Stegostoma tigrinum: one gene and its partners. The protein of the gene in region 3 purifies or fractionates together with the protein of the main gene of each other region. This does not show direct contact. Links are inferred from orthologs where the notes say so. Each region holds a gene or a part of one and is shown on either strand. Other genes may lie near its edges. The genes, in order: ccdc85ca, capzb, ppp1cb and YLP motif-containing protein 1-like.

Region 1 (7,930 bases), on a different chromosome or scaffold from region 3:
TTGATCAGATTATCAGCTCCAGTCAGGGAACTCATATTCTATGAGGTCCAATTGGCTTACCTTGTTCCAATAACTACCACTCTCCTATTCACGCCGCTGTGTAAATGTCTTTTAACTGTTGCAGTTGTACTCCCCGCTTACCGCTTTCTCTGGTTGCTTGTTCCATATATGCACCGCCCTCTGTGTGAAAAAGTTGCCCCACAGATCCGTTTTAAACCTTTCCCCTCTCACCTGAAACCCTCTGGTTTTGGGCTCTCCAACCATGGGGAAAACACCTGGGATATTTACTTTATCTCTGCCCTTCATGATTTTTTAGACCTCTATAAGATCATCCCTCGGCGTGCTATGTTCCAGAGAAAAATGTCCCAGGTTACCAGCCTCTCCTTATAACTCAAACCTTCCATACCCAAGCCTCTCCTTATAACTCAAACCTTCCATACCCAAGCCTCTCCTTATAATCCAAACCACCCAGTCTGGGTAATATTCTTGTAAATCTTTTTGCACCCTTTCCTTTTTAATAACATCCTTCCTATAACAGGGTGACCAGAATTGTAAGGCAATACTCCAAAGCAACCTTACCAATGTCTTGCACAGCAATAAAATGACATCCCAACTAAGGCTCAGTGCTTCATCAGGCCAACCACATAATGTTAAGGAACTTTTAAATCAACTTTAGTCTGGAATGGGCTGGCCACAAAGTCCACCTGGCAACATTAACAACAAACTCAAAATGCTGGAGAAACTCAGGTCTGGAAGCATCTGTGAGGATAAAGCCAAGTTATCATTTCTTGTAAAGGGTCACCCGACTGAAAATGTTTTCTCTGCTTTCGGTCCACAGATGCTGCCAGACCTGATGAGATTTTCGGGCAATTTCTGATTTCCAGCACCCACGGTTTTTATAGAATAATTTTTTTTGGCAACTTTAATATGTACATTTCAATTTCACGCATGGTGTGCTGTCAAACTTTCCATCCCTTAACTCCATCCACACTTCCCAATGCTTCGGAAGGGCAACCAACGTCGATGACCCGTCCCAGCCCAGTTAGAGGTCCAACCTCTACTGCGGGCAGACCTTGAAACACCTGGTATCAACAGGCTCAAGAACAGCTTCTTCTCCACTGTTAGTAGGCTTCTGAATGGACCTCTCAAATTTCAAATCTAATGCTGATCTTGCTTTTGGCGCACCATCTTTGCAGCTGAGCGTATGTGGCAAATAAGGGTTAATTCTAATGCTAATTCTAAAAGAAAAATCCAATTCCTCGCTCTGTTCAATCACCCTATGATCTCTCTACGTTATGACCTGCATGCAAAAGAAAACTTTCACTAAGGTTAAGTGCAGGTGAATAATAAATCAAGACAAAATAGCATATCAGCAGGAAATGTATGGGGGGGGGGGCTATTGAAAAGTTGAAAATGTGGCCGCTTATCACCCAAATCCAGGCAACAATAAAACTCCAAAGCTTGGTCCCTGGTTGAACTTTTAGTAAAGATACAAACAGGATGGAGCGTTGACATTAAAAAAGGGGGTACAGGTTGCAGGGACAAATGCTAATGTGTTAAAGGAACGGGACTTACCATTCAGTCCGTTGGGGATGCTCCTATGATGGGGGGCTCCCGAGAGGTCATCGGTGGACCTTGCGACGGGGGCAGGGCCCTTGTCCCCAGCCTTGTGGTGCTGATGGTGGTGGTCCGGGCTGCCGGCACTGCCTGCGCTGGACGTACTGCTGCCGTCTCCCACGTCCCTGGTGGCCGAGCCCCCATTCAGTTGGATCAGGCTGCTCTGGCTGTCGATGGAGTTGCGGCTGCCGGCGCCGTGCCGCTCGTCGTCCAGCATGAGGGCGATCTCTCTGAGCTCCCGGTTGTCCTGGAGTAGCGCCTCTTGCTTGGCTTCCAGCTCCCGCAGCTTGTGCTGCGAGGCGCTCACCTCCTTCCAGACGGCGGCCGCGGCGAAGCGGCCGAAGCGCTGCCACTCGCGGGCCAGCCTCTTGCCCTTCTGCCGGTCGTCGTCCAGGAAGCAGCAGAGCTCGCGGAGCTCGTGGTTGTCGTCCTGGAGCCGCTGGTTGATGTCCTTCAGGCCGCGGATCTCGTGCAGGTGGAGCTGCAGCCGCCGGTTCACGTCCTTGATCAGGTTGCCGTGCTCTAGCATCAGGCTAATCCTCTCCTGCTCGCTCTTCCTCAGCCTCCTCACCAGCTCCGCTTTACCCCATTTCACCAACTCCTCGTCCGGGATCTTGCTCAGGTCCTCCCTGGAGCCGTCCGGCGAATTTTTCGCCATGATCGCCCCAGAAGCAAAATCAGTCCCGATAATTTGCAACTAAAATCGGCTCCCAATAATTTGCAATCAAAACTGACTCCCAATAATCTCGGTATTATAAACCCTTCACTTTGCAAACCTCCTCCTGTTGGAACAGCACCAGCTCATGTTTGACCCTGATCAAAAATACACTCTCCTCCACCTTTTCCCTCCTACTTGGGCAGTCACTTTTATCTTTAGGCAGAGGTGGAATGGTTTCCCCAACTGTCTAGTAGAATGTCTGCCCCTGTCTGTGTGTGTGTGTGTGTGTGTGTGTCTGACAAGGCACGAAAGACTTCAATAAAAACGATCTCAGTTTCCCAGCTCAGTTCCAGCGTCGGTCTGTTTTATTCAGCGGGTCGGGGGGGGGGGGGAGCCTTTTTCCTGACCGGCAGTGCAGTGCTCAGATTTCCGGCCTGCCTGCGGTTGGCTCTTCAAACACAAACACACCGTGATGTCAAACCGGTTTGTCATTCTGTTTTCTGCGGGGAGAGGAGAAGCGAGCGGCGCATTTCTGTCGGAAAAGGGAAATCCTGTCGAACATGGGGCGGGATGATAGTCTACCTTCTCTCCCTCTCTGCCTTATTCACGCCCCAAGATCCACATTCACTCCCTGTCGGATGCACACAAAAGTGCAACTGGTTCCTACAAACCCGATACCCGGTACACAAAGAACTTTCGCTTCTCTGCACTCACATTCTCTCTCTACTCCCAGGAGAGCAGCTGCCACGGAATGATGGTGCAAATTATTCCACACTCCCACCGCGGGGTCCAATCGAAGCGAAGGCAAACGGAATTAAAAAGCAGGTAGCTAGAGGCTTGTGTGTCACGGACACATGCACAGGTCGAGCCTCCACGGCACAGGCTACGCTTTATCACGTGAGGCTAGAAGTTTACATACGATTGTATCACCTATGGGCTCACAGCCTTCCCTACCTGGGAGCAGACACCACTTTCCAGTCAGTTGTGTAATACAACATTCCAAGGTTCACGACTGGCTTATGAGGCACTCACTAAAGCCTGGGGAAGGTGGGCATTGCTAAGGTCTGTCACAAAAAAAAACATGAGGAGGAAACAAAACAAAAATTGGCGGAAAAGCTCGGCAGCTCTGGCAGCATCTGTGCAGAGAAATCAGACCTAACGTTTCGGGTCCGGTGACCCCTTCCTCAGTTCTGTTTTTATTTCTGATTTACAGACGCCACAGTTCTTTTCAGTTTTTTTTTTCATAAAACATGAGAGTGCTGTTTCATTTCCACACACCCTGGTAGCCTAAATGGGAATGTAAGTAATTTCCTTCCGTGTTTAGAATATGCCTTTTTTTGTTGCAACTGCATTAAAGCTTGAATGAGGAATGTCGAAATTCCAATGTATTTTCTGCAAAGTCCGTACGGAACCGTTTCTTGAGGAAAAGAACTGCGGATTCTGGAAATCAGAAACAAAAACAGAAATTGCGAGGAAAACTCAAAGCTATGGTAGGATCTATGGAGAGAAAACAGTTCGAGCCCAGTGACTTTCTGAGTTTTCCCAGCAATTTCTCTTTCTATGTATTTGTCTTCACTTATAGATTAGATCATGTATGAATATTTTTGCAGAAGAAACTCAGCAGGTCTGGCAACATCTGTGGAGAAAGAGCAGAGTTAATGTTCCCGGCCCAGTGACCCTTCCTCAGAACAATTGTGTGTCTGATGTAGATTAAAGCTTGGAAGGGTGTAAGAAGCAGATTCAGTTCAATTCGATATATACCTGAGAGAAATAAATAGAGCCGTTGTCTGCTGGTTATCACAGAGAAATTAAAGTGGGCGATATTACTTGGGAACCAATTCTCTACTGATGTACAATTTTAAACTCAACCAGCAATTATTTACCAAGGTCTATTTGTTTGTTAAGTTCGAGGTCATGCAGTTCAATGATCATTTTATATCTTTGGGAAGACTGAAACCCTGCGGGGAGGTAAGAGGCTGTAACTGACACGACGAGCCTGTCTGTCGCGCTCTCTCTCCACGCCCCCACCCCCTTCCTTTCAACGTTGTCCTGTTCACTTCTTGAGTCGTGTTTCCTGCAGTTACAAGAAAGGAAATGGTGTGAATAGAAACCGCGCAACCCCCCCCCCCTTCCCCAATCAACAGCATTCTGCGTTACATAATGCAGTTTCGACTTGAGATCTTTGAAACTTTTTGTACAAAGATTGGGGAGGCGAGGGTGTCCGGTCTGACCATTTCATTTCGAGCTGTTGCTTGGGGATTATTTGCTTCATTTTTGGATGGTGTGTCATATGTTTGTGTCCAAAATTTCACCCACACCCCCAGGAGTTCGGGCCGGTTCCCCTCCATGCAAGACACATGTGTTTTCACCAGTCTCTATATTGAAGAATTTCAAACTGGGGGATACCATTCCCCTATTCGGAGTCACCGGACCCGAAACGTTAACTCTGTATTTTCCTTCACAGATGCTGCCAGATCTGCCGCGCTTTGCCAGATTTTGTTCCCATTCCCCTATTATCTGCTACTGGAATGTGCTTCAACATAGTTTTACTTCAGATGAGTTTCGTGGGAGGTGATTGAAAAGCGCACAGCCCAGAACACAATGGGGAGAATCCCATTCGCGGATCCAAATGCGATATCAGGCCAGGATTTGAGCTGGCACTTGTTTTGCACCTAAAGATTTAACCTCAGCGACGATGTGGAACGCACCGGGCCCCAGATCGAGAGGAATTGAATAACCATTAGATTCGGTCCAGCTCCATACGGTTCGCAAAGGGAAAGCGCGGAAACACTGAGCGGGATGGTCACTTTTTACACCATGATTCCTTGCCGGAATTGGACAGAACGAATGGGAGGCCGGAAAATGGTAAATGCACAGCTCAGGGAGTTGTCATGTTTCTCCATCACATCCACGCAGACGATCTCATTATTCTGTCCAGTTGTCTGGCTTTGATCGAATCTCCGGATCATACTTAAGAATTTGACAACATTTTTTCGTGCTGCAACAAATCCTACAATGTCAAAATTCCAACAGAGATAATCATTATCCTGGCAGCACAGATCTGCCTTGTTAGAATGCCCATTTAAAAGATAATTTCAGACGCAAAGTAAACTTCAGTTTCAGTGTCCTAGACAGCGGACATGATAGACTTTTACCCAGATTCCACTTCGGTAAAGATTACAGTAATTTTTTTCCGTTATGTGGGAAATGGTCATTTAAGAATTAGGCTTTCTTCATTCTTAAAGCCACCGCCTGGCCATTGTTTTCAATTTCCTGTCACACACCTGCAGCTGTTAGTTTGCTGACTGATCCTCCGCCTCAGATAACGCTTGGCTAGAGAAATACATTAGCCCTTCTCTAGCCTCTTTGCTCCTTCCTGCATAGTACCCATCATCAGTCTGTCAAGTCCAAAGGTTGTAACTTCAGGCATGTTTGATACAGAAACTAAAAAAAAATTGCTGGAGAAACTCAGCAGTCCTTGCAGCATCTTTGTGGAGAAAGCAGAGTTAATGTTTCAAGGCAGGTGACTCTTCTTTGGAATTGATAGCAGCTAGGGAAAAGTGGTATTTATGCCAAAGATGATATGGGTGGGTGAGCAGATGGGTGGAGATGGAATCCAGAAAAACGGAGATAAAAGGGGAATGCAAATGTGTGGATTATTGATAGTAAACCAGGATACAGGTCTGTTTTAGGCATTATCATTAGATCAAATCCAACCCCATTAACATTAGAGATAATGGGAACTGCAGATGCTGGAGAATCCAAAATAACAAAGTGTGGAGCTGGATGAACACAGCAGGCCAAGCAGCATCTCAGGTGCACAAAAGCTGACGTTTCAGGCCTAGGCCCTTCATCAGAGAGGGGGATGGGGTGAGGGTTCTGGAATAAATAGGGAGAGAGGGGGAGGCAGACCGATGATGGATAGAAAAGAAGATAGGTGGAGAGGAGAGTATAGGTGGGGAGGTAGGGATGGGATTGGTCAGTCCAGGGAGGATGGACAGGTCAAGGAGGTGGAATGATGTTAGTAGGTAGGAGATGGAGGTGCGGCTTGAGGTGGGAGGAAGGGATGGGTGAGAGGAAGAACAGGTTAGGGAGGCAGAGACAGGCTGGGCTGGTTTTGGGATGCAGTGGGGGGCGGGGATGAGCTGGGCTGGTTTTGGGATGCAGTGGGGCCGGGGACGAGCTGGGCTGGTTTTGGGATGCAGTGGGGGAGGGGAGATTTTGAAGCTGGTGAAGTCCACATTGATACCATTGGGTTGCAGGGTTCCCAGGCAACATCAGTCTCCACAGTGTGAAACAAACACCGACTAATCAATTCTTTACTGCGTGTAACCAGGGATGTGAGATAAAGCTGACTATCTGGAATTCGCTTTTTAAAAATTCAGTCACATGACGTAGGCATTGCTGGCTAACCTAACATTCATATTCCATTCCTAATAGCCCACAGGACAGTTGACAGTCAACAGCATTGATTTGGGTCTGGAGTCACATGTAGGCCAGACCAGGTGAGTTTCCTTTCATAAAGGACATTAGTGAATCAGATGAGATTTTCCTGACAACTGTTTCATGGTCATCTTTAGCAGATGAGTTTCTGTACTGTATGACTCAATGAGTCTATTAGACTCTTAATTCCAGATTTTTTTTGAGTTTATAGGCCACCATCTGCCGTTGTGGGACTTGAATCTAAGTCCCCAGAACATTACCTGGGTTACCATATTAATAGTCTAATGATTATACCATCACCTCCACTAACTCGATTAGTGACAATCTCATTGAATGGCCGAACAGTCAGGAGGAGTTAAATGAACAATTCCTAAATAATTGAGGGCCTTGCCTACACTGTAGGGGTCATGACCAGTTTTAATTCTCCTGCTCTTCACTCAAATGTACCCCTCCAACAAGAGATCCTTGTCCTGATCAAAACCTGATCTTGTATCTTTTTCTCCTGTCTCTTTATTCTCCTGATCCTCCATCACTGACCCCTGCCCAATTCATCCAAATCCTTTCGTCAATGCTGATCAACCTGATGTAAATTTCCAGCCTTTGTATCAGTTGCATTATTAATAGCCTACTTATAATTCACATCGAAATCCATGTATGTCAGTTTGCAGTATAACTGATAAATTCAACAAGACCTGAACCAGGATACTTTCTAATCAATGATAATAAAATGTGAGGCTGGATGAACACAGCAGGCCAAGCAGCATCTCAGGAGCACAAAAGCTGACGTTTCGGGCCTAGACCCTTCATCAGAGAGGGGGATGGGGGGAGGGAACTGGAATAAATAGGGAGAGAGGGGGAGGCGGACCGAAGATGGAGAGTAAAGAAGATAGGTGGAGAGAGTGTAGGTGGGGAGGTAGGGAGGGGATAGGTCAGTCCAGGGAAGACGGACAGGTCAAGGAGGTGGGATGAGGTTAGTAGGTAGCTGGGGGTGCGGCTTGGGGTGGGAGGAAGGGATGGGTGAGAGGAAGAACCAGTTAGGGAGGCAGAGACAGGTTGGGCTGGTTTTGGGATGCAGTGGGTGGGGGGGAAGAGCTGGGCTGGTTGTGTGGTGCAGTGGGGGGAGGGGACGAACTGGGCTGGTTTAGGGATGCAGTAGGGGAAGGGGAGATTTTGAAGCTGGTGTAGTCCACATTGATACCATATGGCTGCAGG
Region 2 (8,380 bases), on a different chromosome or scaffold from region 3:
GCAGAGGATGGGGACCTGTGACCACGGTGTGCCACAATGGATCTACTGCTTTTTATCAATTATATAAATGATTTGGATGTGAACATAGGAGGTATGGTTAGGAAGTTTACAGATGACACCAGTTGATTGATTGATTCTATTGTTACATGTACCGAAATAGAGTGAAAAGCTTTCTTTACGAGCGGTACAGGTAGATTACAGCAAGCAAAGGATGTACAGATCAAAGAGACTTAGAGGCATACAGGTTACATTATTTGAGGCTAGAATCCATTCAGCAGTCTGATAACAGCAGGAAAGAAGCTGTTCCTGAACCTGCATGTGCGTGTGTTCAGGCTTCCGTGTCTTCTGCCTGACGGAAGTGGTTGTAGGAGGTCATAACCAGGGTGCAATGAGTCTTTGATGATGTTGGCCGCTTTTCTGCAGCAGCACTTTGTGTAAACAGAGTCCATGGAATGAATATTGGCTTGCGTGATGGTCTGCACACAACCTTCTGGAGTTTCTTACGATCCTGGGCAGAACAGTTGCCATGCCAGGCTGTTATGCACCCAAACAGTATGCTTTCATTGATGCATCTGTAGAAGTAGATAAGGAACCTTATGGACATGCCAATTTCCTGAGTCACCAGAGGAAATTGAAGCGTTGTTGTGCCTTCTTGACTGTCTCATCTATGTGGGAAGTCCAGGACAGGTCTGTCAATTATTGTCACTCCAAGGAACTTGATGCTGTAAGCCCACTCAACGTCACTTCCATTGATGTAGATGGGGACATGTTCCCCTCCCTTCTTTCTGAAGACAATGATGAGTTCTTTAGTTTTGCAGATGTTGAGAGACAGATTGTTTTCATTGCACCACATCCCCAAGCCTTCTACCTCCCATCTGTATTTTGACTGGTTGGGAATTTCGCCACACCTTTGTAGGTGCACAGGGAGTACAGTAGGGGGTTGAGGACACACTCTTGGCGTGGCTGCAGTGTTGAGTGTTATTGTGTAGGATATGCCGTTACCTATCCTCACTGATTGCACCCTGTGGGTCAGAAAGCTGAGGAACAAGTTGCAGAGGGTGGGGCCGAGACCAAGGTCACTCAGTTTTGAGATCGGTCTGGAGGAGATAATGGTGTTGAAGGCAGAACTGCAGTCAGCAAGCAGGAGTCTGACATAGGTGTCTCTGTTGTCCAGGTGTTCCGTGGATGAGTGCAGGGCTAGGGATATGGAATCCTCTGTGGATCTTATGTTGGCAGGCAAACCGTAGGGGATCGAGGCAGGCTGGAAGACTGGAGTTGATTGGGCCGTGACCAGCCTCTCGAAGCACTTCATGATTATTTAAGTTAGAGCCACTGGGCAGTAGTCATTAAGGCACACTGCAAGTGTTTTCTTGGGTATGAGGATGATGGTAGTCTTCTTGAAGAAAGTGGGGACTTCGGCTTGTAGGAGGGAAAGGTTGAAAAGATGTTGGTGAATACCTCAAAATCGGTGGTACAGTGGACAGCAAAAAAGGTTACCTCCAAGTACAATGGGATCTTGATCAAATGGGTCAATGAGCCAAGGAGTGGCAGAAGGAGTTTAATTTAGGTAAATGTGAGGTGTTGCATTTTGAAAAAGCACATGAGGTCGGGATTTATACGCTCAGTGGTAAGGTCCTGCGGAGTGCTGTTGAACAAAGAGACCTTGGAGTACAGGTTCATAGTTCCTTGAAAATAGAGCTGAAGGTAGACAGAGTAGTGAAGAAGACATTTGGTATGCTTGCCCTTAATGGTCATTGAGTATTAGAATTAGGAGGTCATGTTGCAGTTTTACAGGAGATTGGTTTGGCTACTTTTGGAATACCATGTGCAATTCCGGTCTCCCTGCTATAGGAAAAATGTTGTGCAACTTGAAAGGGTTAAGCAAGATTTATAAGGATGTTATCAGGGTTGAAGAGCTTGAGCTTTACAGAGAGGCTGAATAGGCTGGGGCTATTTTCCCTGGAGCATTGGAGGCTGAGGGTTGACCTTCTAGAAGTTTATAAAATCATGAGAGGCATGGATAGGGTGAATAGGCAAGGTACTTTTCCCAGAGCCAGGGAGTCAAAAACAATTTAAGCATTGGTATAATATGAGAGTGGAAAGATTTAAAAGGATCTAAGGGGCAACTTTTTCATTCAGAGGTTGGTAGGTATGTGGAATGAGCTGCCAGAGGAAGTGGTAGAGGCTGGTACAATGACAACATTTAAAAGACATCTGGATGGGTACATGGATGGGTAGGAGGGGTTAGAGGGATATGAGCCCAAGTACTGGCAAATGGGATTAGATGAATTTAGGTTATCTAGTTGGCATGGATGAGTTGGACTGAAGGGTCTGTTTCCATGCTGTACAGCTCTGTGCCTATGATGCTCTGTCATAGGAGAAGAAATTGAACTACTAAGACATGAGCAGAATTTGACACAGTCCAAATTGGAGAGGCTTTAACTGTGTCCCACATTTAGATATTTGAAAATGAAGAATTGGAATCCCTTGTAAAAGAGACAATTTTGATGAGATTTGACAGCCTACAATGTTTCCAACATCTGGGTGGAATCTGACTTGACTGCATCAGTTGCTTATAGTGCAATCCATGAGGTACTCAACTACTGTTTCTCCGTTAACTGATGCATTTGTTAATCTTGAATGCTGGCGTCTAAATTTAAATATGATGCAAAATAATTATCTTACCTTTTTATTGTACCTATTTTAGTTATTATCGCTTAGGTTAGTTTTGTTCAACTTTGTATAATGAACATTTTTTGGTGTTTCAGTTCAATCCTGGTATCCTGCTGCTTTCTTTTGTGCTTTTTTTTCTGATATCATTCTGTTTTTTTTACAAGATGTTGGCCAATGAAGCCAAATCACAATAACAACAAGTTTGTCCAGGATTCTCATAACAGGGACCATAACAATAGTCAATAGTAACCCTAATGTATTGCCATTTTCCTTTCTACTAAATGCCAGTTGGAGAATCTCACTTCTCCTTTCAGTTATCTCTAAGTGTAACCCTCCAAAAATATTGAAACATGAAACCTAACAGAAGATTGACATACTTATGAAAGCTGAACTTGATATCACCAAATGTTCTTACTGTGCACAGTTATATTTACAACAAATGCTTCCAGTTTTCTCATGCCCCTATATGCTATTCTTAAATCTAACCTATGCTTCCTGTTATAGAAAGTGTGTAAATGGTGAGTGAAGACTGAATTAGGATGAGGATTAAAACATATGTTACACCAAAAATAAACTGCTTTGTGTGTTTAAGTGGGTTTGTAATATGTCTTATTCTTTTTTATGGTAAATATATATTTACAATTTAATATTTATAATTTAAAACATAACTTATTCAGAGTGGTGAATTAAAGTGATTTATTTTGGCTCCTTGGATTTCTGTGGTGTGGTCCACAGTCATGAAGACGAAAACAAATTATCGACTCCCTACAGTGCAGAAAGAGGCCATCCAGCCATTAAATCACCACCAACCCTCTGAAGAGTATCTCACCCCATCCTCACAATCCTGCATTCACCATGGCTGACCACCTGACCTGCATATCTCTGGACACTACAGGCCAATTTAGCATGGCCAATCCACTTCAGCTGCATATCTTTGGACTGTGGGAGAAACCCCATGCAGACTCTGGGAGAACATTCAAACTCCACATGGACAGTCACCCAAGGCTGGAATCAAACCTGAATCCCTGGCACAGTGAGGCAGCAGTGTTAATCACTGAGCCAATGTGTCACCCTATTTGTTTCCTAATCTGCACTAAATTAATTTCCCAATAATCAATTTGTTGGAATTGTTCCAGTGCCTGAGAGAAGAACCTTGTCCATTATGACCAAGTAATGGAAGTTGTATAAAGATAAAATATCATGTTCTAATCACCAAAAGTACAGTTTGTGCATATTGGTTAGATCTGTTGTTGTGCTTTGGCAGTGCCAGAATTCTGAAGGGAGGAATACTGTAAACAGTTGTATGAAAAATAAATGTAAGTGTTATATACACATTCAAGGACGTTGGAGAATGAATGGACAATATTTTACCTAAATGGGAAGAGGGTGAGTGGATATTGAGGATGCTGATAATGAAGTGGGGTGTGTGCAGATACTGACAGTACAGCAGACAGTGTGCAAATATTGTGGATAAGAACAGTGCATTGAAGACTGTGTGCAGATGTTGAGATATTGATAGTTCAGTAGGGTCTGTGCAGATATTGGCAGTGTATTGGGGAGTGTGCAGAAATTGAGGTCATTGACAGTGTAGTGGGGGCTGTCCAGATATTGACAGTTGACAGTGCATTGGAGAGAATGCATTTATTAAGGATATTGACAATGCATTGGGGGAGTGCACAGAAATTGAGTACGTCAATGGTGTAGAGGGAATAATGCAAATATTGACAATTGACAGTGCATCAGGAAGTATGCATATATTGAGGATATTCACTGCGGTGGGGAGTGTGCAGAAATTGAGGACACTGACAGTACAGTGGGGAATGTATAAATTGAGGATATTGAAAGTGCACTGGAGTGTATGCATGTGTTGGGAATATTGACACTGCAGCAGGCAGTGTGCACATATTGAGGATATTGTCAGTGCAGTGGTGAATATGCAGATATTGAGATTTTGATAGTGTGCAGGGAATGTACAGATATTGAGGACATTGACAGCATTTTGGGGATTGTGCAGGAATTGACAATATTGACACCAGTGGGGAGTATGTGCATGTTGTGGATATTGACAATGCAGTGGGGAGTGTGTATATATTGAGGATATTGAAAGTGCATTGGGGAATGTTCAGGTATTAAGAATATTGAGCCTGCAGCAGGGAGTGTGCCGATGTTGAGCATATTGACAGTGCAGTGGTGCAGATATTGAGATTTTGGCAGTGTGGGGGTGGGGGAGTGTACATTTATTGAGGGCATTAACAATGTATTCGGGAATATACAGACATTGATAATGCCATGGGGAGTGTGCAGATATTGATAGTGCAGTGGGGAATATGCAGAAATTGAGGATATTAATACTGCTGCACTATTAATATCAATATTGATAGTGCGTTGCGAAGTGTACAGATGCTGACAGTGCCCTGATCAATGTGCAGATATTAAGGGTATTGATAGTGCAGTGGGGAGAGTATATATTGAGGATATTGAAAGTGCACTGGGGAGTGTACAGATAGTGAAGACATTGACGATCAGTGGGGTATGTGCAGGTAGTAAGGGAATTGACAGTGCAGGGGTGGTATGCAGACATTGAGGGTATTGACAGTCGTGCGGGAGGAGGGGAGAGAATCTACTGGAGCACCACTTCCGCATTGCAAGGCCCATACTTGGGCAAGCTGCAGCTTCGGACGCTGATTGGTTGAGCGCGGGTTGTTTGCGTGACCCGGATGATCGCTCGGGCCCGACGAAGAAACCGTCCGCGAGAGTGCCGCCGCCAACCGTCACCACCGCCATCGCCATGGTGAGTATCGCCTGGTCCCGGGGCAAGCCCTATCTATTCATAGCCCCACTTCCCGACACAGGACCCTCTTTTCAGCTGGTCCTCGCATGGAGGACGCCGCGAGTTAGATCCGGCTAGCCAACGGGGTGAGGTAGAGAGGAGACACGGGGCGGGAGGACTGCTCGGCCCGACCCGGCCCTGTGTCTGCATCGCCGCTCACCTCCCGGTAACGGTTCCTAAATCCAGCTGCCCTTCAGTTTATCTTGTTGATTCCTTGGGGTAGCGATCAACTATCCTCTCTCTCCACATCGCGCCTTGCTGTAAAGTGGAGGCAAACTTCCTGCCAAATACTGTTCCTCATTCAGACCAGACCAGATCTGACTGACGGAGGGAGGGAAGATCAACTGTGAGCTTTTGGTCTTCTGGACTGTCACAACCTCAACCTGCGCCAGTGTCCTAGTTGGGATAGTCCATTCAAGTCTTGTGTTGCAATTTTTTTTGGTGTTATGATCCTCTGACCATTCAACGGACGTTCACTGAAGGCAGTTGGATTCCTTTTTGATGTCAGATTGTTGTGAATTCAGGGTTCCCCAATTGTGCATCTTAAAGGAAATGCGGTCCAACGCAGGACAAAGTTATTGAGCGCCCTTGCATTGAAATTGTAAGCTATTAAATGGAGTTTAGATGGATGCTACTCCACAGTGGTGAAAATTGAGTGATTAACAAAATAAATTTTCAGACCCAGAGATTAGTTTACAACTGGTTACAGTAGAAGATCATACTTTTTTGGGTTTTCCTTAAACCAAATCTATTTTCTAATATTTATTATTGTTCAATGAAAGATAATAGCACTTTCAAACTAACGCTTGTTGGTGGAATGATTAGTTTGAGAGTCAGATATGTATATATTTGAACACTTAAGCGATTTTAATTTTTCTATCTGTAATACTAAAAAGTACTTGGTGTCGTTTTGCCTCCTGGATTTATCTTCATTGGTGGCACATCAGAGGCATTTCACTGTAGAAATGAGGAAGTTATCTTTTGACAGATTGTGTTATTCATTTGTTGGGTTTAGACGAGGATTGTAATTTTCAAGATCTTGCATGATCTGTTTTCTGAACTGTTTGAATAGATTGCATTGGGAAAAGTTTTAATCCTTTATTCATTTATTTTAACCAATCTAATCTCAAAATATCAATTCGTGTCTCAATTTCTTGGTCTCAAGGTCTTTTTGTAGACCAAATGACTAATTGCTGCTCTGTATTTGCTGATGAGCCTTTTTATCAAGAAGTTGATTGTGAATTAGTCTCCAGATCTCAACTCAAACCAAGCTATGGCACTGTTTTATTTTATGTGACTTGAATACATGTCAGATTAGTCAATAACAAACTTCCATTTCTCTTAGCCTGGGTAACTGGCATGACCTCGTTCTCATTTCTGATGCTTCTAAAGAAATGCTGAAATCTTTGAATTCAGAAAATCCCTTGCTTTGTTTTATTGCTTTTGCATAGACTGATTGAAACTTGTTGTGCTTTTGATCCCCTTGTAACAGAAATATTCAAGCAATGATTGCGTAAAATGTGACATTTTCAGACCGTTTGCACTTTGAGTAGTAAAAATATAGATTCTGTTTTCTTTCAAACTTGGATTGTGTTGGAGGAATTTCAGAGTTTATGACACTTCTTTAATGTACTAGCTGTTATAAGTAGTTTTGTTGTGAGAGCAGTTTCATATGATAATCAAGGACTTGCACAGTATTGAAGTCTGCAGTGTTGTCTGAATATTGCATTTAAGTCTCATGACAGCATCTCTTTGAATAGATCCTTTAAGTTATTGATCTTGAGGCATATGAAATGTTTTTTGTTTTTATCATCACCTGATTGTACTTAACCTTGCTTTAAAAATGATGAATATGAACAAGCAATTTGCTTCTTTGCCTTTGAAAGTACCCCTCTGAAACCCTTCTTCAGGTGCGAGTTGACTTGGGAATAATCCTCCCTCTTGTTCCACCAACCTTTTGATGTGCAGAACCAAAGGATGTTGCATACATAGAGACTAAAATCAGTAACTCAGAGGGTCAAGGAAGAATAGATTGAAAGAAGGAACTTGCAATTTAATGCACCTTTCATTGCCATGGAATGTTCCAAAGTGATTTACTGTCAATGCATAACTTCTGAAAAACAGTTACTGTTATTGGCTGCCACATATTCTACATTATATGCATATACAAAGGCCCCACAAATATCAATGTGATTGCCATCAGAAATCTGATTTAGTAATGAGAATTGAGGATAAATACTAGCCTGGACACGAAGCATACTCTGTGTTCTGAGAGAATGTTGCATTGGATCTTCTACACCCATGCCAGAGACTTGTATGAACATGGTTTGACATCTCATCTGAAAATTCAGCAAACTTTATTAACTGGCACCAGTGGGACCAGGAGTCATAGAGTCATACAGCATGGGAGTGTGGCGATTGAGGAAATATTCCATATAATCAAGAGATATGCATACTGCATTAAACTCTGACCAAGTGAAGCTTCGAGACATCAATATGCCTCAAAAAAAACGATGTAAAAACATCAACAAACCTTCTAAACGCAGTGTAAAAACACGTAGTATGTAGCATAAATGTAATGTGAGGTATACGTACCGCTGTTATATGTTATTAAGAGCATAAATACTCAGACATCAATGTAGATTGCAGTATTTGAGGGTTGGTGGTTTATAAAGAGTGCTGGTAGATAAGGGGCCAGTTAAAACAAAGTTTGCTGTATGATACTGCATCAATATTACACTAGAGCCTCAACTGAGATTATGTTGTCAAATCTCTGAAAGGGGCTTGTACCCAAAGCCTTCGTTCCAGTGGTGTTTTGGAAATTTAGGATGCATATCTTTATTGAGAATGCTTAGTCTCCTTCATTTGTTGTCCTTG
Region 3 (7,802 bases):
TGAAGAAATTCCAAATATTTGCCTTGATCACTTTCACTAGTGTATCATGGAACCAGGAGTTTCATGATGCTTCAACATTTCAAATTTGTCTTGAATTCCATGATGCTTTCTGAGCGTCAGTAGTTTTACGTTTAGATTCTGTATCTCCCTATGTGCCAATCTTCAAGTCTTCTAATAAATGACAGTCAGCCAGTGGAAGGCAGCAGTCAGAGGAAAACACTGCTGTGATATCAGTGGATCTGTCCATGAGTAGTTGAGACACAAATACAATAGCTGTTAGAGAAGGATGAAAACCCCTTACAAAAGCACAGACCATTTTTCAACTTTGCATGTTATCCTTGTGCAGGGGGCTATGATAATGTTCTCTATATCATTTCGATTTGGATTACTTGAGGCCAAAGCGAAAACAGTATTTTTTTTTCCATATCTCACTTCTTAGACACACACTTTTCTCTTCACTGCCTTCATGTGTTCTTAACGTACTCACCTGAATTTGACACATCAAACACAAGTCCAGACTGATCACAGCAGCGTGAATATAGAAACAGGAGATAGTCATTCAGCCTCCAGGGCCTATTCCACCATCTGCCATAGACCATAGGTGATCTGCATGTTAACTCAGTTTACCCACCTTTTGTCCGTATGTCACATTATGCTTGCATCAAATGATACTATGAATTTATCTTTAAAATTCAATTGACCCAGGAAATCAACTTCTCTCTGAAGAAAATTTGAGATTTACAAAAACCTTTCCATGAAAAAGTTTTTCCTGAATGCATTTTTAAATGGTTTTGTTCAACTAAGGAGGAGATGGCCTAGTTGTTTTATCCCTCCAAAAATTCTGTTCTGGGACATAGGTTTGAATCCTGCCACGGTAGTTGGCGGATTTTAATTCAATTTTATAAAAACCTGGAATTGAGAATCTACTTACGACCAAGAAACCATTGCTGATGGATGAGGAAAAAGCTGTCTAATGGCCTTCAGTGAAGGGAATCTGCCATTCTCACCTCATCTGGCCTACATGTTACTCCAGACCCACAACAATGTAATTCACTCTCAAATGTCCTCTGAAACAGCCTGCAAGCCAATAAGTTCAATGGTACTACAAACAGGCAACAAATGCTGGCTAGCCAGCAACATCTACTTCCCATGAGTGATCCAAAAAAAATTAAGATTAGCCCTTCTTGTTTGGAATTCTACACTGGAAGAAGTGGTTTCTCTGTATCCATCTTATTCAGCCCCTAAATTATTTTCATTGCCATAATTTGTTCTCACTAATAAGATCAAGGGTACATTGTCTAAGCTTGTGCAACTTACAAACCCTAGTTTCAGTGGCAGATTGGCTGAAGCACATGCAGAGATGGACAGCAAAGTATCATCAGTAGTGTTATGAAGCAGCACATGCTCAGTAATAAACTGCTCTGTGACGCACAGCTTGGGTTCCATCAAGGCCACTCAGCTCCTGACCTCATTACAGTCTTGGTTCAAATATGGACAAAAGAGTTGAATTACATTGCCGTTGATATCAAGTCTGCATCCAGCTGAGTTTGGCATCAAAGAACCCTAGCAAAACTCCAATCAATGGGGAACTCTCTACTGGTTTGAGTCATACTGGGCACATAGGAAGATGGTTGTGGTTGTTGGAGGTCAGTTAACTCAACTCCAGGATATCTCTGCAGGTGGTCCTCAGAGTAGTATCCTAGGCTCAGCCACCTTCAGCTGCTTCATTGACGCCCTTGCCTCCATCATAAGGACAGAAGTGGGAATGTTCATTGATGATTGCACAATGTTCAGCACCATTCAGGATTTCTCAGATACTGAAGCAGTCCATGTTCAAATGCAACAAAATCTGGGCTGACAAGTAGCACATAACATTCATGCCACACAAACGCCAAACAGTGACTGTCTCCTATTGGAGACAATCTAACCACCATCCTTTGACATTCAATGGTGTGACCATCACTGAATCCCCCACTATCGACATCCTGGAGATTAGCATTCACCAGAAACTCAACTGACTCACCACATAAACATAGTGGCTACAAGAGAAAAGTCCGAAGCTAGGAATATTTCAACAAGTAACTCACCTCCTGAATCCCCAACGCCTGTCCATCATCTACAAGCACTAGTCAGGAGTGTGATGGAATACACCCCACTTTCCTGGATGGGTACAGCATTCATTCCTTCCACCATCGACATCAGTTGCTGTAGTGTGCAGTATCTATAAGATGCATTACAGGAATTTGCCAAAGTTCCTTAGACATTGCCTCCCAAATCTAATAATCACTCACATGTGGAAGGGCAACGGCAGCAGTTACTTGGGAACACCTGCAAGTTCCCCTCCATGTGACCTACCATCTTGGCTTGGAAATATATCGCCATTCCTTCACTGTTGCTGGGTCAAAATCCAGGAATTCCCTCCCTAAAGCCATTGTGGGTCCACCTACAGCATGTGGACGACAGCAGTGCAAGAAGACAGTCTACCACCACATACTCAAGGGCAACTAGGGACAGGCAATAAATGCTGGCTCAGCCAGTGCGGCCCATGAAAACTTGAAGGAATTAAGGGGGAAGAGTTGATTGCCTTCTACCATTTTCAGACATGGGGTATGGAGGTGAATGAATGGGGTGGCACGGTGGCTCAGTGGTTAGCACTACTGCCTCACAGCGCAGAGATCTGGGTTTGATTCCAGCCTCAGGCAACTATCTGTGCAGAGTTTGCACATTCTCCTTGAGTCTGCATGGGTTTCCTCCCATATCTAAAGATGTGCAGGCTAGGTGGATTGGTCAAGCTAAATTGCCCATAGTGTTCAGGGATGAGTCGATTAGGTTGGTTAGAGGGGGATGGGTCTGGGTGGGATGCTCAAGAGGGCCAGTGAGGACTTGAGTGGCCTATTTTGACACTCTAGGGATTCTATAATGATTTCCATTTAGCTGCATCCACTCCTGTTGAGGCAGCCAGCACACACACATTGTGTTGCTTTATCATTTTAATTATTACAGCATAAAGATTGTGAGCTATTATGCTGCTGGTTGAATGTTCAGAAATTAATCTCAGTTGGTAATCATGAACCACCCAACTGCAATGAAGGGATTCTGTCTTCCTCTTCCACGCTTCCACTTGCTTCCCTTCCTCATGTTCATTTCAAGGTAGTCTCCAGATATACGGTGGCAAGGGCTTTGTTTCTCATGATAATGATGATGGGCTGAATGCCTTCCCTATTTGCTGTAACAATTCTGTGACACAGAGGACTCTTGGACGCTTGAACTTTTGAGTACTTGAGGGGTCCTCTGAGCAATCGAGGCAGGGTAATCATTGCTTTAGTACACCACTGATCTTCTCTCTGATGTTCCCATGTTGGCAGCATGGAACTCATCGCCAGCATTTTCTCCATTCACACCTTAGGGCAAAGAGAGCCATGTGCCCAAATGATATCGCTTGTTTCCAAGTAGACAGGTGTGTTGTGATTGCATAAAGAACAGTGGGAAGATCTGACTGCTGCAGGATGAATAAGTTTTGGCTGCTGACAGGATACCAGGTATTTACCAAAATGATATTTTAGACATTGCAGCAAACCAATGTTTTCGTGAAATGTTAGCTCTTGACATTTCCCTGTTTAGACGTACGGCCCACAGAACCACATACATGCGCAGTCAATGACACTGCATTGTTGGAAAATGTGGTAACCTAGAAATGCCAACTCTGTCCATTTCTGCTAAGATAGAAACAACAGCGTCCCTCTCCTGGACTATATGATCTCTGTCAACTTACTGATGTAATGGTAAATGCTAAACTGGGGAATGTTAACTATTGGGATTGAGATCAGAAGAAATTTCTTCACCCAACAAGTGATGAGCTTGTCGAATTCTACTACCATAGAAAGCAATCAAAGCCAAACATTACAGAGATTGTAGGAATTGCCGATGCTGGAGAATCTGAGATAACATGGTGTGAAGCTGGATGAACATAGCAGGCCAAGCAGCATCAGGGGAGCAGGAAAGCCTTCCTGCTCCTCTGATGCTGCTTGGCCTGTTGTGTTCATAAGGCCAAACATTACATGATTTCAAGAAGGAATTCAGTACTGGGTAGAGCTAAAGGGGTATAAGGATATGGGGGAAAGCAGGAACTGGCTACTGAGATAACAAAGTGAGGAGCTGGATGAACACAGCTGGCCAAGCAGCATCTTAGGAGCACAAAAGCCGACGTTTTGGGCCTAGACCCTTCATCAGAATTGGATGGTCAGCCATGATTATGATGAATGGTGAAGCAGGCCCAAAGGGCTGAGTTAATGGGAACTGCAGATGCTGGAGAATTCCAAGATAATAAAATGTGAGGCTGGATGAACACAGCAGGCCAAGCAGCATCTCAGGAGCACAAAAGCTGACGTTTCGGGCATGTCCCTTGACCACAAGGACTGCAATGGATCAACTTTTCGCGGGCTATTAGGGATGGGAATACGCGCAGGCCTAACCAGCAAAACACATATCCCATGAAAGAATAAAACAAAAGCATCCTATGAAGGCCAGAATGTTCCACAGACTTCCCTGTAAGGAGGAAGCAATACTTGTTCAATGAGCAAACATTCTCATTCACTTTTGCCCTCTGTTGCCGTGTTTATCCCAGTACTGATAGGGTTACGCAGTGAAGAAGCTGCTCTCCTCCGCTGTTGTGTTTTATTCCAGTACTAGCAGGGTTACTCAGCGAAGAAGCTGCCCTCTTCTCTCCCTCTCCGTCGTTGCTGTGTTTTATTCCAGTGCTGACAGGGTTACTGAGTCCCCTCCTCTCTCCCTCCTCTACCGCTGCCCTCGGCTGAAGACTGCTGTAAAATGGCGGACGGAGAGTTGAATGTGGACAGTCTGATAGCTCGGCTGCTGGAGGGTGAGTCGCAGAATCAGTTGGAAAACAGCCTTTTGCTTTTTTTTAAAAAAAATCGTTAATGGTCCCCGGAACAACCTTAGATAACGTTTGTTTGATTTGCGAGGGATCCGGGTTTTTGCATTTCGAGAGGTGGCTCGAAGAAACAGCTCTTCACGGGATTAAAACAAACGCCTTTCCCCCGCCGCCGGTTTTTTTTTGTTAGAATTTGGAATGGTGTCGTTTGAGACGGAAAACCTTTGTACGATTTCGTTATAAAAACACGGAGGGATAGGTTTCGTTTTACCTGAGTGTGGCCTGTTCGGGCTCCGGAGCCTCGGCGTTGTGCTGCTGACAGGGTGGGCGGACGGGCGATGAGGGAGCCCAGGAACTCGGCGCCGGTTTAACCGACGACAATTTCAAATGGTTCCCAACCGCCTGCCTCTCGTGAGGGTGGAAATTGAGTTAGATTTTTTTTCAATTCGGAGTCAAAAGCATTTCATTTATAGTATTCAAAATATTGTAATATTACCCAGAGTTTTTTTTGAGTAAATCTCTTTTTTTTAATAAAACGAGTGAGAATTTTTTTTCCATTTAGGCATCTCTATCGGATCACGGTCTTGTAAAACATTTTAAATATTTAGCTTTGCAAGTTTGAAGGCCTTTGTTCTTTTCCAAAGGCTTGGATTCGAGTTAGTCAATCCCGGCAAGTTTCTATTTGCTGCATTTAGTTAGTGACTAGTAAACGTTTAATTATCGTATCTTTCGTTTGTGAGGGAAACTTTTTTGTCTTTTGATCCTCGTGTCTCCTTGGGGTGTGTCGTTTACTCTCTCATAGTGTTACGGTAAGGAAGGCCGTCGTTGTAGATCTCCTCAATCCATTCCTTACAAGGAGCCTTTCACTGGCTCTTGCCTGATGTCAACTATCTGAAAATATTTCATGTGTTCTTGCTTGTGGGTGTGTTTTTCTGTCCCAGCAGCAACTAGATTACATTGCCCATTTTTCATTCCGAGGAAAAAGGCTATCCCTCATTCCAGCTTAGTTCCATCTCCAGAAGACAATGGACACAGTAAACAAATTAATTTAAGATGGGGATGTAGTGGACCTTTCACTGATGGCTGAATAAGCCAATTTTTGAGAGGCAAGTTCTGCCACAAATGCCAGATATGGAGCTAGAGCATCATTGTAGGTTGATTTTGGTGCTGGTGGCTGTTCCCAAGCTGCGGTAGCCTTGGTCATCGTGGTACCAATTGGATACATCAATGGCTTAACAACAGGAGACACAATATTGGTGGAGGGTTACTTTTCAGACTGGAGGCCTGTGACCAGCAGTGTTCCACAGGCATTGGTCTTAGAACATAGAACATAGAAAAATACAGCACAGTACAGGCCCTTCGGCCCATGATGTTGTGCCGTGGAATGATCCTAATCCCAAAATAAAATAACCTAACCTACATCCCCCCAATTCACTGCTGTCCATGTGCATGTCCAGCAGTCGCTTAAATGTCACTAATGACTCTGCTTCCACGGGCAAAGTATTCCATGCGCTCACAACTCTCTGGATGAAGAACCTCCCTCTGACATCTCCTCTATACCTTCCTCCTAACACCTTAAAACTATGACCCCTCGTGGCAGTCAATCCTGCCCTGGGGAAAAGTCTCTGGCTATCGACTCTATCCGTGCCCCTCATTACCTTGTACACCTTGATCAGGTCACCCCCGCTTCCTCCTTCTCTCCAGAGAGAAAGGTCTGAGCTCCAAATTGGGTCCAATTTTGTTTGTCATTTGTATTAATGATTGGGATGAGAATATAGAAGGCACGGTTAGTTTCTTTTTAATTCATTCACAGGAGAGGGTGTTGCTGCTAGGCAGCATTTATTGCCCAACCCTAATTGCCCAGAGGTCAGTTAAGAGTCAGCCACATTGTGGGTCTGGAGCCACATTAGATTCTTAATTCCAGATATTTATTGAATTCAAATTCTACCCAATGTTATCTGGGTCCAGCAATAATAATGGCATTGTAGACAGTGAAGAAGGTTTTCTCAGATTACAGAGGAATCTTGATCAAATGGATCAATGGGGCAAAAAATAATGGCAGATGGAGTTCAATCTGGATAAATGTGAAGTATTGCATTTTGCTACAACAAACAAGAGTGGGGAGAATGGAGACAACAAGGTGTAGAGCTGGATGAACACAGGCCAATCAGCATCAGAGAAACAGGAAAGCAGACGTTTCGTGTCTAGACCCTTCAGAAATGGGGGAGAGGATGGGGATTCTGAAATAATTAGGGAAAAATGGGGAGGCGGATAGAAGATGGATAAAAGGAGAAGGTACGTGGAGAGGAGACAGACAGGTCAAGGAGATGGGGTAGGAGCCAGTAAAGGTGAGAGTGGGTGGGGAGTTGGGGAAGATTTAGGTCGGTCCAGGCAGTACAGGCAAGCCAAGGAGGTGGGATGAGGCTAGTCGGTAGGAGATGGGGGTGGGACTTGAGATGGGAGGATGGAGAGGTGGGAGGTCAGGCTAGGGAAGTGGGTACGAGCTGGGCTGGCTTTGGGATGTGGCTGGGGAAGGGGAGATTTTGAAACTCGTGAAGTCCACATTGATACCATTGGGCTGCAGGGTTCCCAAGTGAAATATGAGATGCTGTTTTTTGCAACCTTCGGGCGACACTGTTGTGGTACTGCAGGAGGCCTGGGATGGACGTGTAGTCTAAGGAGTGGGAGGGGGAGTTGAAATGGTGAATGGAGACCAGTCACTAATGGTATTCTGCAGTGATCAGTCTGAGGTTCTCTGTTGTCTGTATGTATAAATGATCTCAAGAAAAATGTGGGTGATCTGATTAGCAAGTTTGCAGATAACACAAAGATTGGTGGAGTTGCTGTTGGTGCCAACGATTGTGAAAAGATACAGCAAGATGTAGATTGGCGACTTGGGCACAGAAACGGC
Region 4 (7,547 bases), on a different chromosome or scaffold from region 3:
GACAAATAATAAAATCTAGTGGTGTAAAGTTCCAAAGTGAGCAGGTCATGACACATTAAGTTCCTAGGTCTTCCAGCTGTGAACCCTGGATCCCAGCATAGAAAACATAAGAGATTTGTTCTGACTGTGGCTTGTTGGCGTATAGGACTTAAGTAGAAGTAATAAGAATCTTCGATAACGTGGATCTCGGTCTCATCCGGTCAGCGGAAGTATTGGTCTTTGATCCACTGAACAGGAGAAATTCATCAAAATCTGTGCCTCTTTCCTGGCCTGTTGCAAGTGATTCAATACACTGTCACAATAGCAGCCACCAAACAAATTATTCTTGAGGTATACTTTACCTCAATAGAGGAGAGAATTGCCTAATGATTGATGATCCTGTAGTCCACGAGAGTTTAAAGTGATGAGCAAGCAAAGATCTATGTAGTTTACAAGGATGTCACTAATTCCATGCAATCAGTCAGATTACAAGCATTACAAAGTATTTGTGGCACAAAAATGTAGCCTCAATATGTCATGTATGTTTTTGTGATTTCATATCTCTTCGTCATACCTCATCATCAGGTCATGCAAAATCTGTAGACAATGAAAGAAAGCTGTTCTGATGAGAAGTCCTTAATCTGTTTCTCTGTAGCTGAGCATTTCCAGTTTGTGTGTCTAGTATCCCAGTAATTTGTTTCTTTTTATCAACATATCCTTGTACTGCTTTCTTTCATGTGCTTATATAACTTCCCTTGAATGCTATTTTCTTCAACTACTTCCTGCATTTCCAAATTTCACATTCCAACTGCTCTTTTGATAAAGAAGTTAATCATGTATTTATTATTGTACAGTAATTCTCACATTTGTTTTAGCTATATTCAGCAGCATCTTTTATGAGAAACCAAGTTAATATTCAGGTCAATGATGGCTCTCCTTTAGATTCTTCATTGACCTGAAAGTTAACTGTTTCTCTACATAGATGTTGTTTCACCTGCAGATTATTATTAATAGCTGTGTTTTTATTTCAGCATTCTAGTATTTTGTTTTTGTTTAGATATTTGTGGCCTTGGCTGAGGTCTTATGATGAAAGATGCTTGATTCATATATGTATCATTTTTAGAGTTTGGATTTGAAAGTAGTGGCATATGGGCATTTTCTCCAGATTTACCAAAATTAGGTCAATCAGTGTTTCTCAAACATTGCTTAAATACAGTTTGTGTAAAGGAGCAAGGATACCTGTTAATGGATGTTTGTTTGTAAGATTTACTGGGAAAAGTTTATAACTGTGAGTGTAAACATTGACAGCCATTAGTTTGGTTTTGGTTTACGATAATCAAGGATTGATTTTGACTTCAGAACCTAGAGATGGAAACATTTTGAACAGTTTCTGAGGAGACCTGATTATCAGAAACACAATATAATTTCTCATCTCGAGGTATATAAAACGGGTAAGGAAATAAATTACCTCAGTTGAAATTTAGTTCATCCAACTTCCAAATCCAAGTGTGTTTGGTTAGAAATGGGCAGATTTTTAAAAATTGGGAAAATCTAAACTTTTAACTTCTGAGAAGATCTCACAGAACAGGAAAGAGTCAGTTGAGTATCACTTAAAGATTTGAAATTGAGGGGTATTTTCTAAGCTGTAAAGTGGCTGTTTTGGAAATAGTTGAGACATTTTGCCATGCGTTTTAGGATCATTTTTCAAAGAAGATATTGAGCTTTACTTTCTTCAGGAGGACTATTATTCATAGAGTTATTAAGAGATCTGGCTGATGAGGGATATCAAAGCTCTAGTCAGGAAAAAGAAGGCAGCATACATAAGGTTTAAGCTATTGGGCTCAAGTGAACCCCTAGATGACTATTAAACCTGTAAGAACACACTTAAGAGAAATCGGACGAGCAAAGAGAGGGAATCAGATGGATCTGGCAGATAAGGTTAAGGATAATCACAAGAGGTTCTCTAGCCATATTAAGAGTAAAAGGATGGCTAGGGAGAGAATAGGTCTCCTTAAAGATTAGCATGGCTGTCTATGTGTGGAGATGAGAGATTTTTAATGAGTATTTCTCCTTAGTGTTTACTGAGGAGAGAATCACGTGGTAAGGAAATAAGGGAAACAAGTGGGGATGTTTTTGCCCACATGTATATTATCAGAGAGGAGTTGTTTGCAGTCTTAAAGTGCATTAAATTCCCTGGACCTGATCAAGTCCATCCTCTGATGGTGTGTGAAGTTAAGGAAGAAGTTGCAGAGGCCCTTGCAGAGATTTTTGCTTCATCTTTAGCCACTGGTGAAGTTCTGAAAGACTGGAGGGTGGCTAATGTTGTTCCATTGTTTAAGAAAGGTAGCAAGACAAGCCATGGAATTACAGGCCCGTGAGCTTGACATCAGTGGTAGGCAAGTTATTAGAGAGGATACTGGGGGACAGGATCAACGAACATTTGGATAGTCAAGGCCTGATAGGGATGGCATGGATTTATGCGTGGGAAGTCATGTCTAGAAGATTTGTCAGGGTTTTTCTGAAGATGTAACCAAGAGGATAATTGAAGGTAGGGCAATGGATGTTGTCTATGTGGACTTTAATAAAGCCTTTGACAAGGTCCTGCATGGCAGGCTAGTCGTGAAGGTTAGGTTGCATGGGATCCACGGTGAGCTAGCTAGTTGGATTCAAAATTGGCTCGATGGCAGGAAGCAGAGGGTGATGGTTAAAGTTTGTTTTGCCGACTGGAGGCCTGTGACTAGTGGTGTGCCACGAGTCGATGCTGGGACCTTTGGTATTTACTTAAATGATCCGGATGTGAATGTACAAGACGTGATTACAGATGATACAAAATTAGGAGGTATCATTGATAGCAAGAAAGGTTATCAAAAATTACACAGGGATCTTGATCGGTGGGCTGAGGATTGGCAAATGCAATTCAATACAGATAAGTTTGAAGTGTTGCACTTTTGAAAGTCAAACCAAGGTGGGACTTGTACAATAAATGGTAAGGTCCTGAGGACTGTTGTGGAACAGAAGGACCTAGGAATACAAGCTCTTAGTTCACTAAAAGCGATGTCATAGGTAGACAGGATGATGAAGAAGGCATTTAGCATTCTTGCCTTCATCGGTTGAGGCACTGAACACAGGAGTTGGAATGTTACATTACAGTTACGTAAGTTGTTGGTGAGGCTGCACTTGGAGTATTTGGGTTTCTGCCTCTACCACCCTTACAGGCAGTGAGTTCCAGAATCTCACCATCCTCTAGGTGAAAATGTTCTTCCGCACATCTCCTATAAACTTCTTGCCTGTTTAAATCTATTCTGCCTGGTCATTCATCCCTCAGGGAGAAAAGTTTATTTTTTATCTACTCTATCTGTGCCACTTAGCTCAATTGCCTGGATGGCTGCTTTACAGGGCGGAGTAATGTTAACTGTGTAGGTTCATTTCCTGCACTGGTCGACGTTACCATGAAGAAGTCTCCTTCACAACCTCTCCCCTCACCTTAACTACAGTGACCGTCGGGTTAAGCCACAATCCGTTGTCTCTCCGGTGTAATCAACGGTCCAGTAAGACAATGGTGACTTTGTAAAAATATACACACCTCATAATTTTGTACACATCAATCGTCCGTTTCCAATCTCTTCTGCTTTAAAGAAAGCAATTGCTAGAAAAGCTCAGCAGGTCTAGCAGCATCTGTGGAGGCAGTTAAAATGTTAGGTTCCGTGACACTTGTTCAGATAAAAACTGACAGAACTGCGCAGGCTGTAAATCAGGAACAAAAACAAAGATGCCGGAAAAGCTCTTCAACTCTTTTTTGTCCTTCACAGATGCTGTCAGACCTGCTGAGCTTTTTGATCCTTCAGAACCCAATGTGCGTACCATCTCTTTTCATAACTGAAGGTCCCCAGGCCAGGTGACATCCTGCAGACGTCCGAGTTCTAACACTGTCTCTCCACATATGCCGCTAGACCTGCTGAGCTTTTGCAGCAATTTCTGTTTTTCTTCAGGATCTGTCAAGATCTTCCTTATTTTTCCGAATTAGCCCGTACAAAACTCTGGAAATGTTCCACCTCTGGTAGGACTTGAACCGGTGTCCTCATGTCAAGGGGGCAGGGACAGTGCGACTGCGCCACTAGTGAGTGCACCCCTTGCCGCAGCTTGTTGTGCCTGTAACAAAAATGGCGTTTCCAACCTTTCAAAAAGTCTTCTCGAAAATCATATTGACCATGCTGTCGTAAAGTAGACCAGAATTGGAACAAGAGATGGTGGGAACTTCAGATGCTGGTGAATCTGAGATAACAAGGTGTAGGGCTGGATGAACACAGTAGGCCAAGCAGCATCAGAGGAGCAGGCAGGCTCATGTTTCGGGCCTAAAGATTTTTGTTTTACTGAAGAAAGGTCTATCCCTGAAAGGTCAGCCTTCCTGCTCCTCTGATGCTGCTTGGGCTGCTGTGTTCATCCAGCTCTACACCTGGTTATTTCAGAAATGGAACATTCTGGCTTTTGCGACAGGAGCTGACGCACGATGCGTGCGCGGGGGAGCGTGACGCGATGACGTAGGAAGTCTGTGTTTTCTCTGGTTCTTCGTGTAATGGCGTTGGTCATCGAAGAATGAAGCAGAATCTGAAATATTGACCGCTAGTTGTGGCTATTTCGGCTCCGATTCGACAGGGCAGTCTGTCAGGATTTTAATAATACCCAATATATTTTACCCCTATCGAGATATTTTCGCTGGTTGAAGTTGTTTGAAGGAAGACTTTAGACCCGATGTATCCGTCATGGGGTCGGTATGGTGGGGGAGGGGCACATCTTCCGTATTATGGCGGAGCCGCTCAGCCTCCACTACCTCAAGGGCCTCGTGTGCCGGCACCAGGCATGGTGGTTGGCGTTGGCTCTACCCTGAGCCCAACCACCGTACCCCCGCCCGTTCCCAGTGCCGGTTTGGCATCCAATTTCCAGACGCTCAGACAACAGCACCTTCAGCAGATGCAGCAGCTGCAACAAATGCACCAGCAGCAGTTACAGTCGGTGCTGCAGCATCCTGCCCATCAAAACCTTCCACCTCCGTCCATACCACCACCACCATTGCCGCCTCATCTGCAGCAACCTCCACCGCCTCAGACCCTCTGGGACACCAGCAGTACCCAAAACCAACTAACTCAGACTAACCAACCCACTCAGCAACATCCAGATTTCTCCTCGGTGGCTTTACAGGTGAGGCGAACGAAAAGGAAACGACAAAACCATTTCAGACGTATTACTATTTAACAGGCCTTGAAATATACGCGCTGTCAGATATTAAGAAATGCGGAGATCAGCCAGGAACTAAAATTGTGAATAAAACAAATGTGGATGCTGGAGAAACTCAGCAGGTCTGGCAGCATCTGTGGAGAGAAAACAGGACTAACCTTTCAAATAACAGTGACTCTTCAGAACTGATGGTTAGAAAACAAATCAGAATTTAGTTGACTAGAAGTCAGACTGCATCTTAAGTAAATTTAAAAACAAAGTACTGCAGATTCTTGAAATCTAAAACAAAACAAAGTGCAGGTCCAGCAGCATCCGTGGAAACAGAAACAGTTGATGTTTCCATTCAGATTTGATATCTAATTTATTTTGTTGGAAATGTGAATGGGTTGTTGTAGAGCGTAGAAAACCTAGTTTATATTGCACTGATGGTTTTTGATCTCTCTGAAACCAAACAAGTCATGAGAAAAGTTGCAATAGTCTGATGTACCACCTACATGCAAAACTACCTGATTAGGTAGAAGGACAAATTTGTATTTTCCAGCTGGACATTAAGTATTGCAGGAAATTGTACAGATACCCATGGATTAGTCAGAGTATAATATTCCATGCTCTATAAGGTCATAGTGACAGAAAATGCACAAAAGGAGCCAGAATATGGATTGATTTCCGATTTCCCTTTTCTTGCCTTGTTTCTCTTCCACCAGTTTTACCTGATCGGCCAAAAATCCATCAGATTTTTTTGTTTTAAAGGCAGTTAATTTGGAAGCTTTGTGTGAGAGTGAATCAGATAGTTGGCCTTTTCTTGTTTTGGGAGATAGTCTAGTTTCTGATGGAATTGAAGATGGCATTGTTGACAATGATAATTCTTGTTTTGAATAATAGCCTGTTTTAATCTGGCATTAGATTTTTCTAGAGTCATCAAATTGTTGTCAGAAAGTTTCTGAATTTAGAAAGATGAGTGAATATGCTATGATAACCTAAAACAAACGTAGTGAAAAGCAAAGATAATGGGAACTGCAGATGCTGGAGAATCCAAGATAACAAAGCATGGAACTGGATGAACACAGGCCAAGCAGCATCTTAGGAGCACAAAAGCTGACATTTCGGGCCTAGACCCTTCATCAGAAAAGGGGGATGGGGAGAGGATTCTGAAATAAATAGGGAGAGAGGGGGAGGCTGCCTGAAGATAGAGGAGAAGATAGGTGCAGAGGAAAGTATTGGTGGGGAGGTAGGAAGGGGATAGGTCTTTCCAGGGAGGACGGACAGGTCAAGGTGACTTTCCATATCAGGCAGATGTTCACCTCCACATCCGCCAATGTGGTATACTGTATCCGCTGTACATGGTGTGGCTTCCTCTATATTGGGGAAACCAAGCAGAGGCTTGGGGACCACTTTGCAGAACACCTACATTCGATTCGTAGTAATCAACTGCACCTCCCAGTTGCAAACCATTTCAACTCCCCCTCCCATTCCTTAGACGACATGTCCATTCTGGCCCTCCTGCAGTGCCACGATGATGCCACCCGTAGGTTGCAGGAACAGCAACTCATATTCCGCTCGTGAACCCTGCAGCCCAATGGCATCAATGTGGATTTCACCAGCTTCAAAATCTCCCCTTCCCCTCACTGCATCCCAACACCATCCCAGCTCGTCCCCGCCTGCCTAACCTGTTCTTCCTCTCACCTATCCCCTCCTCCCACCTCGAGCCACACCTCCATCTCCTACCTACTAACCTCATCCTGATCCCTTGACCTGCCTGTCCTCCCCAGACTGTCCTATCTCCTCCCTACCTCCCCACCCATACTCTCCTCTGCACCTATCTTCTCCTCTATCTAACTTTGGTCCGCCTCCCCCTCTCTCCCTATTTATTTCAGAATCCTCTCCCCATCCCCCATTTCTGATTGGCCTAGGCCCGAACCGTCAGCTTTTGTGCTCCGAAGATGCTGCTTGGCCTGCTGTATTCATCCAGCCCCACACTTTGTTGTTATAGTGAAAAGCAAAGTTTTGTGTCTTGAGAAAGACTTGTGCCTTAAAGATATGGATCGTTTCATTTCTGAGTGCTAGTGAGAAACAATTTTGACAATCCCTTATTTGTGGTATCTTTTAGATGTAATACGTCATCTGGTGTGCAGCAACAGTGGGTGACAGTTGTCCATTGTCACTGAAGATAATTTAATAAACCTTGAATTGTTTGAGCTGTTAATCACCAGGGTTTACAGTACCATGTCTCTGCTGCAGGTTTTATTTCTATTTTTAAAAAAGTATTTCTCCAACTAAGGCTGAAGATATTCTTCTCATCTGTACAAAATAATCACGAAGCCTATTGCAATTCTTAG

What was found.
Region 1: the proteins of ppp1cb (region 3) and ccdc85ca purify together in Homo sapiens (affinity purification with mass spectrometry; 3 studies listed by BioGRID and IntAct, with this or other methods). This does not show direct contact. The link is inferred for Stegostoma tigrinum from reciprocal best matches to the Homo sapiens genes PPP1CB and CCDC85C.
Region 2: the proteins of ppp1cb (region 3) and capzb purify together in Homo sapiens (affinity purification with mass spectrometry; 3 studies listed by BioGRID and IntAct, with this or other methods). This does not show direct contact. The link is inferred for Stegostoma tigrinum from reciprocal best matches to the Homo sapiens genes PPP1CB and CAPZB.
Region 4: the proteins of ppp1cb (region 3) and YLP motif-containing protein 1-like purify together in Homo sapiens (affinity purification with mass spectrometry; 3 studies listed by BioGRID and IntAct, with this or other methods). This does not show direct contact. The link is inferred for Stegostoma tigrinum from reciprocal best matches to the Homo sapiens genes PPP1CB and YLPM1.

The regions. Positions count from the first base shown.
Region 1 is NC_081363.1:18,244,816-18,252,745, reverse strand, and holds the start of ccdc85ca (coiled-coil domain-containing protein 85C-A), read right to left. Parts: upstream 3,184-7,930; 5' UTR 2,276-3,183; coding exon 1,576-2,275; intron 1-1,575. UniProt on the Homo sapiens protein: May play a role in cell-cell adhesion and epithelium development through its interaction with proteins of the beta-catenin family. May play an important role in cortical development, especially in the maintenance of radial glia.
Region 2 is NC_081381.1:30,769,919-30,778,298, forward strand, and holds the start of capzb (F-actin-capping protein subunit beta), read left to right. Parts: upstream 1-5,311; 5' UTR 5,312-5,461; coding exon 5,462-5,464; intron 5,465-8,380. UniProt on the Homo sapiens protein: F-actin-capping proteins bind in a Ca(2+)-independent manner to the fast growing ends of actin filaments (barbed end) thereby blocking the exchange of subunits at these ends.
Region 3 is NC_081357.1:18,405,496-18,413,297, forward strand, and holds the start of ppp1cb (serine/threonine-protein phosphatase PP1-beta catalytic subunit), read left to right. Parts: upstream 1-4,742; 5' UTR 4,743-4,827; coding exon 4,828-4,879; intron 4,880-5,162; exon of another isoform or gene 5,163-5,257; intron 5,258-7,802. UniProt on the Homo sapiens protein: Protein phosphatase that associates with over 200 regulatory proteins to form highly specific holoenzymes which dephosphorylate hundreds of biological targets.
Region 4 is NC_081363.1:17,203,228-17,210,774, forward strand, and holds the start of YLP motif-containing protein 1-like, read left to right. Parts: upstream 1-4,510; 5' UTR 4,511-4,728; coding exon 4,729-5,175; intron 5,176-7,547. UniProt on the Homo sapiens protein: Plays a role in the reduction of telomerase activity during differentiation of embryonic stem cells by binding to the core promoter of TERT and controlling its down-regulation.